3 linked regions of the Mus musculus genome follow. The protein of the gene in region 1 interacts with the protein of each later gene in a pairwise test. Links are inferred from orthologs where the notes say so. Each region holds a gene or a part of one and is shown in the gene's direction. Other genes may lie near its edges.

Region 1 (3,678 bases):
GGACTGCGCAACTACTAGATTCTTGGACTTCCCATCCACAGCTGCCCATTGTTGGGTTAGCCTGTAAGTCATCACGATTAATTATAGAGAGAGAAACATTCACTAGGTTCTGTAGCTCTAGAGAACCCCTGGCTAATACATCACCCAACCGGAGGAGGGGAAAAGACGCACCTCGGTCTGCAGCCAAGATAACTCACCTACTACAGCTTGCCGGTTAAATTGCCAAACCTCAGCCAGTCGGAAGTGACGTGCCAGCATAGACTCTCAGGTCGGCCACGTAATACACCGCCGCCTTAAACAGCAACCCTCCCCCAGAATTGACCCGGAGACCGGGAAAGTGTGGCCCAACGCCCACAACCCGTAGCCGCCCAGGCCTCTGCGGTTCCCAGCCCCACCGAGGACCAGCTTGAGCCTCTGCGGGCTCGCTGACCGCGCAGCTCTGCCAGCCCAGCCACGGCGCGCTGCCCGCCATGGGGTTCGGCGTCTCGCCACGCGCATGCGCGGCCCTCAGTCTCCGGGGGACCGCTCTGGTCACCTGGGCGCCAGCACCTCAGCCACGGGAAGCGGCGGGTTCCCTCTCGCCCGGTAAACTAGCCGCGCAGGCCCTCGCCTCCGGCTCTCCGCCCGCCACCCGCCGCGGGCCCGACTAGGCCCTGGCACGGCGGCTCGGCGCCGCGCAGCTGTCTTCCATCGCCGCAGCGCGGCTTCCGCTTCCGGCGAGTATTGTGTGTCGCGCCGCGGGGCGGGGGTGAGGGGAGGAGGAAGGAGGGAGGCAGTGCTCCGGCGGCTCCGCGCCCGGCACTCCGGGACCCGGAGCCGGGAAGGTAGGTGCTGCGCCGCCGCCACAAGGGTCCCGCAGCCGGCTCCAGCGAGCGGGCTCCTCTCGCCGCGGCCCTACGCCCGGCGAGTACGTCAGCCGGCCGGCGCGCAACCACAGCTGCCTCCGCCCGCCTCGGGCCCGGAGGACGTTTGCCGCCCCGGCGACGTCAGCGCGTCCGGCGTTGCTTGGCTACCCCGCCGTTCCCCTGTCCCGCTGCCTTTGGTCTCCCCGGGTGAAACTGACGCAGTCATCGCGGGTCTGGGCTGCGACATGGCAGCGGGCATCCCACCTTCACGTCACACCTCTCCCTCACTTAGACACGCATCCGTTCCTCCCTGCCAAGCACGACGTATGCTCCCTCACTCTGGTCCTCATGCTCCCGATATGGCTGGAGAAGATGGAGAACGGGTGGGACAGAGTTGTGGCCAGTGCTTGAAAGAGGCTCCTGAGGTGGTACCCAATAGTGATTAAAGGCAAAACGTGGACGTCTCTGACGCGATTACTTACACTGAGATCGAGTAATGGAGAGTGGGAGGAAGGATCAAGCCAGAGGAGCACAAGGCCATATTATGGCTGCCCTCTACACCACCACCACACCACCCCCAGCTCCAAATCCTCTCCGTTCTTCACTATCCTTGAGCCCGTTTCTCTCTCATACCATCTATTTGCTAATTAGATACATGCAGGTCTCTCAAGTGTGAATATGGTTCAGTTTTAGGTGAGGATGCCACTTATCTGTAGGATTGAGGAGGAGGAGGCTAAGTCACTAGTCAAAACTGGATTCTAATGGGCAGAGAAGAAAGAAATCATCCAACTGTACTTATCTGGATCAATTCTTTTCTCCATTAAAAGAGGATAAGTTACCAACTCCTACTTAAAATCCTTCCATTTGTACCACCAGTATACAGAAATAATCATTGTTGCCCCAATTCATTACATGGGCACTTTTCTGTCGATGGGTAGACCTATCAAATTTCCTTCCTTTTTGGGGGGCCCCTTTTGGGACAGAAGGAAAGTAGGGGGTTATGGGACCAGATAAATTAGCTTACTTATGTATTGACATCTTAAGAATGGAGAGCTTTGGTTGTCTCTTTCCATACACTTATTCATTTATTGAGACCAATAACTATTTATTGGTTATATTTAATTTAGGCTGGCCTCGAGTTCCTGAGGCTCCTGCCTTTGCCTCCTCGGTACATGCGCTACCTACCTAGTATTAACCATACCTGGCTAATTTCCTTCCTAATCACTGACTATCTAAGGAGTTAGTTATCAGTAGTGACGTTGAAAGACTGCAGTCACCACTGAATGTTTAGAATGTACTTGCCAGCTCTCTCTCCAAGAAGCTGCTGCCCTCAATGCACTCAATGGTGCTTCCTTAGAGCTGATATGTATTTGTTGCTTTGCAGCCATCCCAGCTGCACACAAATAGAAATGCGGTGAGTGACAGGAGCATCTTCAAGAAGAGAGCGTTCTTCCTTTGGGCTAGTTTGGGGAAAGGAAGAACCATGTCATGCTTTCCCTGAAACAGTGTGTTACTGTAGTGTAACTCATTAAGAGGAACAGCAGACAATCAAGGCTAGACTCTAAAACAATAAACTTCCTATGACGTTAGAAGAAGTAGCTTGGGGTTCTTTGAAATCGATGCAGTAATTATATATGAAGTTCTTTAAAGTAGTAATGAGTTCTAGGGCTGATAGTCAGTTTTAATAGATATGTAGATATATTATTTGTTTTACAAATCTTACTCTACAGCCCAGGCTAGCCTTATTCTTGTATTGATCCTCCTGCCTCACAGTGAGCCACCATGCCCAGCTAAAATCTTAATACTTTGGCTTATGTGACATATCTCATTTCCCATGGTTCCCTCCCTGTAGAAATAAGATCTGTGTAATTCAAGCTAACCTAGAACTCATTGTGTAGCCTACGTTGGCCTTCAGCTAATGACAGTCCCCCTACCTTGACCTCAAAAATGGCTAGGGAAATGGGTTTCAGTCGCCATATCAGGCTCCTTTTCATTGCTGGTATTGAAAAAGCAGAGGTAAAGAAATTCTGGGCACTGCTGATATTTGCTGACTCAAAATAATAATAAAATAATAATAACAGTGATGGGGAGAGGTCACACACACTGTAAATAGACCAACAGATGAAAAGGTGGAAATGGGAGAATACCAAGATGGGGCTTCATCTAGACCTATGGCTTACTGGGAGCTAATGTCAGGAAACAAAATAACCCTCCAACTAACACTTCTTTCCTCTCTCCCTGCCTCCAAGTTATAATGGCAGAGACAAGTCTGTTAGAGGCTGGAACCTCTGCAGCCTCCACAGCCGCTGCTCTGGAGAACCTGCAGGTGGAAGCAAGCTGTTCTGTATGCCTAGAGTATCTGAAGGAGCCAGTTATTATTGAATGTGGGCACAACTTCTGCAAAGCGTGCATTACCCGCTGGTGGGAAGACCTAGAGCGGGACTTCCCTTGCCCTGTCTGTCGGAAGACATCCCGATACCGGAGTCTCCGGCCTAACCGACAGCTAGGCAGTATGGTGGAAATCGCCAAGCAGCTCCAGACGGTCAAGCGGAAGATCAGAGATGAAAGCCTCTGCTCCCAGCACCACGAACCTCTTAGCCTTTTCTGCTATGAAGACCAGGAGGCTGTCTGTCTGATATGTGCAATTTCTCATACCCACCGGCCCCACACCGTCGTGCCGATGGATGATGCTACACAGGAATACAAGGTAGGCAGCCAGGCCCATGATGCTAGGGTTGGGGGTTGGGGAGGGCAGCTGAGAATATACTCTGAGTAGTCCCTTCCTGACTGTATACATCTGGTCAGTTGTCCTCCATTGAGAACAGTGAGGAGT
Region 2 (3,653 bases), on another chromosome or scaffold:
TCAGTTCTATAATTTCCATTATTATTATTATTACTACTACAACTACTACTACTACTTCTTTGTGAGTATTTGTGCTACAATGCACCGGGTTGAGAGGACAGCTCTGTGGAGTTGGTTCTTTCCTTCTGCATTCTGATATCAGTTCTGGGGATTGAACTCAAGTCAGTAGGTACCCTAGCTAGGTTTCCATTGCTTTGGCAAACCACTATGACCAGAAACAACTTGGGGAGGGAAAAGTCTATATGGTTTTCATTTCATGATCACAGTGCATCACTGTGAGAAGTCAGTGTAGGATCTCAAACAAGGAACCTGGACTCAGGGACTGAAACAGAAGCCATGGAGGAACATTGAATGCATGTGTTTCTTATCCTGGTCATTTATAAAGCCTCTGGCTAGTCCTTAGAACCAGTGTCCAGAGTATCACTTAAAGTTAAGTTTTGAGATTGTCTACTATGTAGAAAAATTTAGGTCATAATTGGAATTATAAGTAATTTTAAGAAAAAATTTCTGAGCTGGCTGATGGTGGCACATACCTTAATCCCAGCACTTTGGAGGCAGAGGAAAGCAGATATCTGTGAATTCTAGGCTAGCTTGATCTGTAGAACTAGTGCCAGGACAACCAGAGCTACACAGAGAAACCCTGTTTCAAAAAAGGAAAACAAAAATTATCTTCTGTATTAACACAGAAAATGATAGCCATATTTCTGATCTCATCTCATCAAAGATGGTCCTTACTAAGTAAACTGTGGGATACCAGAGTAGTTTGTATTTGCTCCCATCTTGACACCAGTCTTTCAAACCAGAGAGTGCATTGAGAGTAAGTAGTTACAAGTACACATTCTGAAGTTTGTAATAAACTGAAAAGCCCTATGTTAATTGTAAGTTACAAAAATTGCAACATTTTCTTTCCATTCTTGAGATAAGATCTCATCATGTAACCCTGGCTGGCCAGGACCATGCTAGGATTAAACGTCAACTGGTAGACAATATTAATATGAAATCTAATACCAAATATTAAAACTGCATGTAGTAAGTTATTGACCAAAAATCAGCAGAAGCACTAAATCTTTAGAGCACCAGTTTTGACCTAGGGAAAGCAGGCGTGATGACACTGTGCCCATAGAACAGCTTTGAAAATGATAAGACATATTAAGATCTGCTGTGATAAACTTAGAGTAGAATTCATTTCAAAATTTGGCACTTGAACCTAATGAAAATTCAGTAAAATAAAACTGGAAGAAATGAAGCTGGTTACACTGGTTGATTGACATTTTTATTATTTTGACTTTACTTCTCTTGGTTGGCATTCTACATTCCTATAGCTTAACCTGATTCTTTTAATGATGGTTTATTAGTTTCCATGTAAGAGCTATGATAAAAATACAGAAGTGGATGTTCACAGTCATCTATTGGATGGAACACAGGGCCCCCAATGGAGGAGCTAGAGAAAGTACCCAAGGAGCTATAGTACCCAACCCTATAGGTGGAACAACAATATGAACTAACCAACCACCCCTCCAGCTCGTTTCTCTAGCTGCATATGAATCAGAAGATGGCCTAGTCGGCCATCATTGGAAAGAGAGGCCCATTGGTCTTACAAACTTTATATGCCTTAGTACAGGGGAACGCCAGGGCCAAGAAGTGGGAGTGGGTGGGTAGGGGAGTGGGGGGGGTAGGGTATGGGGGACTTTTGGGATAGTATTGGAAATGTAAATGAAAAAAATACCTAATAAATAAAAAAAATTTATTTAAGAAAAAAAAATTATCCCACCTTAGCCAGACATGCTTTTTAATCCCAGCACTCAGGAGGTCCAGGCCAGCCAGAGCTACATAATGAGATCCTGGCTCAAAAATGGAAAGAAAATGTTCCTATTTTTTTTAAAGACAGGGTCTCTTGTATCTCAGGCTGGCCTCAAACTCTCTGTACAAAGATGACCTTGAATTCTGACTCTCCTATCTGCCCACCAAATGCTAACATTGTAGTCACCAAACTCAGATTGATCCAGTATTTTGTGCTTACTAAACCAACACTTTTTTCTTTTGGTGTTTCGAGACAGGGTTTCTCTGTATAGCCCTGACTGTCCTGGAACTCCCTTTGTAGGCCAGGCTGGCCTTGAACTCAGAAATCTGCCTGTCTCTGCCTCCCAAGCGCTGGGATTAAAGGCATGCGCCACCACGCCTGGCTTAAACCAACACTCTTATCAACTGAGCAACATCCCCAGGTCCTAGTCCACCTTTTAAAAAACAAACAAACAAACAAACAAACAAACAAAAACCTGTTTTGTTTTTCCAGAATATGCTTTTAAGGCTATTAACCAGGGTGGACTTACATCTGTTGCTGTCAGAGGAAAGGACTGTGCAGTTATTGTCACACAGAAGAAAGTACCCGTAAGTAATACTGCCCAGCCAGTCAATGGCTGCAAAATCAAATGTAGGAATTTTCTGTGATTTTTGAACAGGGTTATATTACCAATTTACATTAACATTTGTCTTGGTCTGACTCTGCCTTTTTACTAATCACTCAAGGAACCCTGAGCAGCTGGACCCTTTTAGGCTGAGATTGTCACAATAAGTCACAATAAGTGGGATGAGATTTCTAAGTCCTTTGTTTTCTGGGATCTTTAATCCACAGAAAACATCTAGAAAAAACATCTTCCTCTACCCCTTTTGAAAGATTGGTTTTAACTGTAAAATGAACAGAACACACATAGCTCATAACTCCTATTTTACAGTTTATTGCTCCAGTTCCACACTGGTGGTTTTTTATAAGTGTGCAGAGGCTGTGGACTTTAAAATGACATGGCGGTGGTTTATTTTGTTCTTTAGGACAAACTACTGGATTCCAGCACAGTGACTCACTTGTTCAAGATAACGGAAAGCATTGGCTGTGTGATGACAGGAATGACAGGTAACCGCAAGCAGCGCCGTCCTGGAGTGCAGCCTGGCAGTCCTTCCTGCCAGATCACTTTGTATTTGTGTTGTGTATTTGTTTTTGCATGTATTGATGGTGTATGTGGGAGGGGTGCACTTTGTCAGGGCATGTGTGGGTCAGCAACCTGTGGAAGTTGGCTTTCTCTACCATGTGAGTTCTAAGAATGGGACTCAGGTTGTCAGACTTAAAAGATACCCTTACTTGCCAGCCCTGTCTTTTCTGCTTTAAAGATCCCTTAGTGCCTGGTTTTGGGGTGTTACTAGTAGATTCGCTATTTTCCTATCGTCCAAGGGTAGTATTAGTTTGTGTTTGTACAAGTATGCTCACTGTGCTTGTGGAGGCCAGAGGTTGACTTCTGATGTCTTCTACTATCACCTTCCTCCTTATTTTTTGAGATAACTTCTCTCTCCTATGTGTATCTCTGTTGCAACTAGACTGTCTGAATAGCAAGCCTCCAGGGTCATCTTCTGTTTCCAAGGTACACACACACACACACACACACACACACACACACACACACACACATCCCAGGGTTACAGGTCCCGGGTTACAGGTGTATGCCTGGCTTTTACATGGCTACTAGGGATCCAAGCTTAGGTTCTTATGTTTGCACAGGTCTTTACCTGCTAAGCTCTGTGTCCACCCCCTAATAAGATATTTAAGATGGTCATGAATTTGGTTGGTTGGTCACTTAGTGGTTTAGTTGCCTGATTATAGTTAT
Region 3 (3,653 bases), on another chromosome or scaffold:
GGTAATTTCCATGAGTTGTTAAAGTCTATAGTTAATGCTTTTATTTAGACAATTATCATTTCAGTGTTCTGGGTAATACTTTTCGCACCTTATGTATTATAGCCCAGTGTTGACTAATCTCAGGCATTTCTAGTGAGGTCCATTTTTAAGGTTGGCCTAAGCAAAATACTTTAAGAATAAATGATTATTTAAATTAGCATCCAGTAGTTCTCATTTTACCTTATAACTTTGCATAAGCAAGAAGATTTAGTCGCCAGGCGGTAGTGGCGCACACCTTTGATCCCAGCACACAGGAGGCAGAGGCAGGTGGATTCCTGAGTTCGAGGCCAGCCTGGTCTACAAAGTGAGTTCCAGGACAGCCAGGGCTACACAGAGAAACCCTGTCTCGAAAAATCCAAACAAAAGATGATGACTTGGGAACAAAACACCCATGGAAGGAGTTACAGAGACAAAGTTTGGAGCTGAGATGAAAGGATGGACCTCGTAGAGACTGCCATATCCAGGGATCCACCCCATAATCAGCATCCAAACGCTGACACCATTGCATACACTAGCAAGATTTTATTGAAAGGACCCAGATGTAGCTGTCTCTTGTGAGACTATGCCGGGGCCTAGCAAACACAGAAGTGGATGCTCACAGTCAGCTAATGGATGGATCATAGGGCTCCCAATGGAGGAGCTAGAGAAAGTAGCCAAGGAGCTAAAGGGATCTGCAACCCTATAGGTGGAACAACATTATGAACTAACCAGTACCCCGGAGCTCTTGACTCTAGCTGCATATATATCAAAAGATGGCCTAGTCGGCCATCACTGGAAAGAGAGGCCCATTGGACTTGCAAACTTTATATGCCCCAGTACAGGGGAACACCAGGGCCAAAAAGGGGGAGTGGGTGGGCAGGGGAGTGGGGGTGGGTGGATATGGGGGACTTTTGGTATAGCATTGGAAATGTAAATGAGCTAAATACCTAATAAAAAATGGAAAAAAAAAAAGAATTACAGGAAAATACAACCAAAAAAAAAAAAAAAAAAAAGATGATGACTTAGTCAAGAGACCTTTTCTGTGTCTGGGATAGCTTTGTTGCCTATTTTGTTTGTTTAATTGTATTTATTTTTTTATATGTATGAGTATTTGGCCTGTATCTGTGCATTATATGCTGTGCCTAATGCTGAGGAGGTGTGGCTCCCCTGGGACTGGAGTTACAGATGGATATGAGCCACCTTGTGGGTGTTGGGAGTGGAACCCAGGTCTTACTATCGCTCCCATCCTGCCATCTGATCTTCACCATGTTACTCTCTGCAAACCTACCTTTTTCCTTATATCAAAGATTAACTATGAATTTCTTGGTAAATAACAAAATCTATCTTAATTTTTAAAGCTATTTTTATAGATACTATGAAAAGCATTAAAGTACCTAGTAAAAAAAGAATATTTGATATTCATCCTGCTTGTTGTAAGGATAAATTGTACGCAGTTTCTTTTCTTGTTTATGAATATTACTGCATTTGCAAGTCTTAGACTAGTGAGGTTCAGAAAGTGTCAAAGTGTGCCTAGGTATGAATGGTCATGATTGCATCATGTAGAAATCACTGATACAAGTTAATGGTAGTAGTGTTATTATACTGATGACAGATGATACATTTAAACTTTATTCTTTTTTAGTTATCCAAGCATTAGGTGAACATCTTAAATTAAGACAACAAGTTATTGCTACTGCTACAGTCTATTTCAAGAGATTCTATGCTAGGTATGGTTGTTTTATTCATTTATTTTTTTAATGCCTGGTTGAAATTCTTTTCTAATTTTCATGTACAATATATAAGTAAATCACTTGTTTAGTGTAGAATTATGATTCCCCATCCCCACCCCCACCCCCAGTGTGTTTTCTAAAGAGTCATCACATCATTTAACTCTTGTCTAATTGTATTTTTAGGTATTCTCTGAAAAGTATAGATCCTGTATTAATGGCGCCTACATGTGTGTTTCTGGCATCCAAAGTAGAGGTATAAAACAATTTTCTGTTCTTCATCCAAGTATCACTGTCTGGTTAATCTTTGTGTGTGTGTGTATATATATATATATATATATATATATATATGTGTGTGTGTGTGTGTGTGTGTGTGTGTGTGTGTGTATGCCTTTGTATGAATAATCATAAGTGGTAGTTTATCTGAACTGATGAAAACACATCTTGCAAATATTTTTTTAATAACTATGTCACTACATATCAGATGATTTAATGAGGCCCTTTACAAGTTCTAATTCAATCCTATAACTGGAGTATACAGTAGTAGAATCCATTTTGGGTAAAAGGGCCAAAGAAAAAACACGCTGGATTCTGAGACCAGGGCCAGGGAAAGAACACCCTGACCTTGACTTGAGCCCAAGCAAGAAAGCAAGGCCAAGAAAAAGAATCCTGTCAGTCCCTGAGCTTGCCCCAAGATCACATCAATCCCATGCTGCCCTGGAGAGCAGTCCCGGCCCCACCCCTCTAATACATCCTGCCTTCTCAGATTCCTGTTGCTTCTGCTTCCCCTTCTCCTTCTTGCTCAAGCAGAGTTGCAAACACCTTCTCTTGTCCTTCCCAATAAATCTTGTGACGTTTGTTGTGCAGTGTGACTTTGTGGTGTTCCTTGGCTCCTGACTAGAAGAATGTCTTTCCTTCAGAGATGTCACACAAGGGAAACCATTCCCCTCCGAGCTGTAACACTTCTATAAGGAAACTTTCCCCTCAGAACTGCAGTACTTTCGTAGAGTAAACCTTTCCCCTCAGAACTGTAACACTTGAAACCCTCATTTTATAAGTGAGGAAACAAAGGCATAGAGAGACCCGTGTTCATATTGCCAGGTCAGTGAGTCCTGATTGTCTAGATCTTCATCTGCAGCTTAATTGCTTCGCTATCTTTAAAAGACTGGCTGAGTGTGGTGGCACGTGCCTTTAATCCCAGCACCGGGGAGGCAGAGGCAGGTAGATATCTTTGTGTTCAAGGCCAGCTTGAACTACATAGTGAATTCTGAGTTCCAAGATAGCCAGAGCAATGTAGTAAGACCCTGTCTTGAAACAAGAACCAAAAAAAAAAAAAAAAGATTGTTTGGGCCTGAGGATGTCTGCCCCTCCCCCTTGTGATGCTCTGTGTTTAACCTGTCTTCATTGGTAACAAGCCACTGGGGAGAGAAAGAAGAGAGACTTTGTAGACTCTAGCCAGGAAAGGTGTGGACGGTGGGAACAGAAACAGTAGGTGAGAAAGATGTCAGAGGAGGACTTGACCAGAAACTGCATTTCTGCTCAACTGACTGTTTTCATTATTATTAAGAAAGTTTAACTTTCAGCTAAAACCCAAATAATATCAGATTCTGAGAACTGGCTTTTTTTCTTAACTAATCCACACACTCCCTAGTCTATTGTTTCTGTCCTTAGGTGATGTCTTTAGAATAATTCTGTCCCTGTGAACTGAATACGAGTTTAACCAGGAAGATTCTATTTCTCTTGTGTTCATTTTTATTTTAGAAGCCTCCATGGCATCTTTATTATCTCCTAAGTAAGCAGAATTGACTATATTAGAAATACTAAAACCTTTTCTAGGAACCTAATTTAACTCTGTCCATGGTTTCTTGAGATAAAGTTTGAATAAATCTCATTACAGAAGTCAGTTAC

The links.
Region 2: the proteins of Trim39 (region 1) and Psma6 interact in binary tests that used the Homo sapiens proteins (3 or more experiments, as listed by UniProt). The two-hybrid records come from large-scale screens. The link is inferred for Mus musculus from reciprocal best matches to the Homo sapiens genes TRIM39 and PSMA6.
Region 3: the proteins of Trim39 (region 1) and Ccnc interact in binary tests that used the Homo sapiens proteins (3 or more experiments, as listed by UniProt). The two-hybrid records come from large-scale screens. The link is inferred for Mus musculus from reciprocal best matches to the Homo sapiens genes TRIM39 and CCNC.

The regions. Positions count from the first base shown.
Region 1 is NC_000083.6:36,268,483-36,272,160, reverse strand, and holds the start of Trim39 (E3 ubiquitin-protein ligase TRIM39), read left to right. Parts: upstream 1-727; 5' UTR 728-824; intron 825-1,383; exon of another isoform or gene 1,384-3,094; 5' UTR 3,095-3,099; coding exon 3,100-3,552; intron 3,553-3,678.
Region 2 is NC_000078.6:55,405,176-55,408,828, forward strand, and holds part of Psma6 (proteasome subunit alpha type-6), read left to right. Parts: intron 1-2,293; coding exon 2,294-2,388; intron 2,389-2,826; coding exon 2,827-2,908; intron 2,909-3,653. UniProt on the Homo sapiens protein: Component of the 20S core proteasome complex involved in the proteolytic degradation of most intracellular proteins. This complex plays numerous essential roles within the cell by associating with different regulatory particles.
Region 3 is NC_000070.6:21,730,558-21,734,210, forward strand, and holds part of Ccnc (cyclin-C), read left to right. Parts: intron 1-1,660; coding exon 1,661-1,745; intron 1,746-1,931; coding exon 1,932-2,001; intron 2,002-3,653. UniProt on the Homo sapiens protein: Component of the Mediator complex, a coactivator involved in regulated gene transcription of nearly all RNA polymerase II-dependent genes.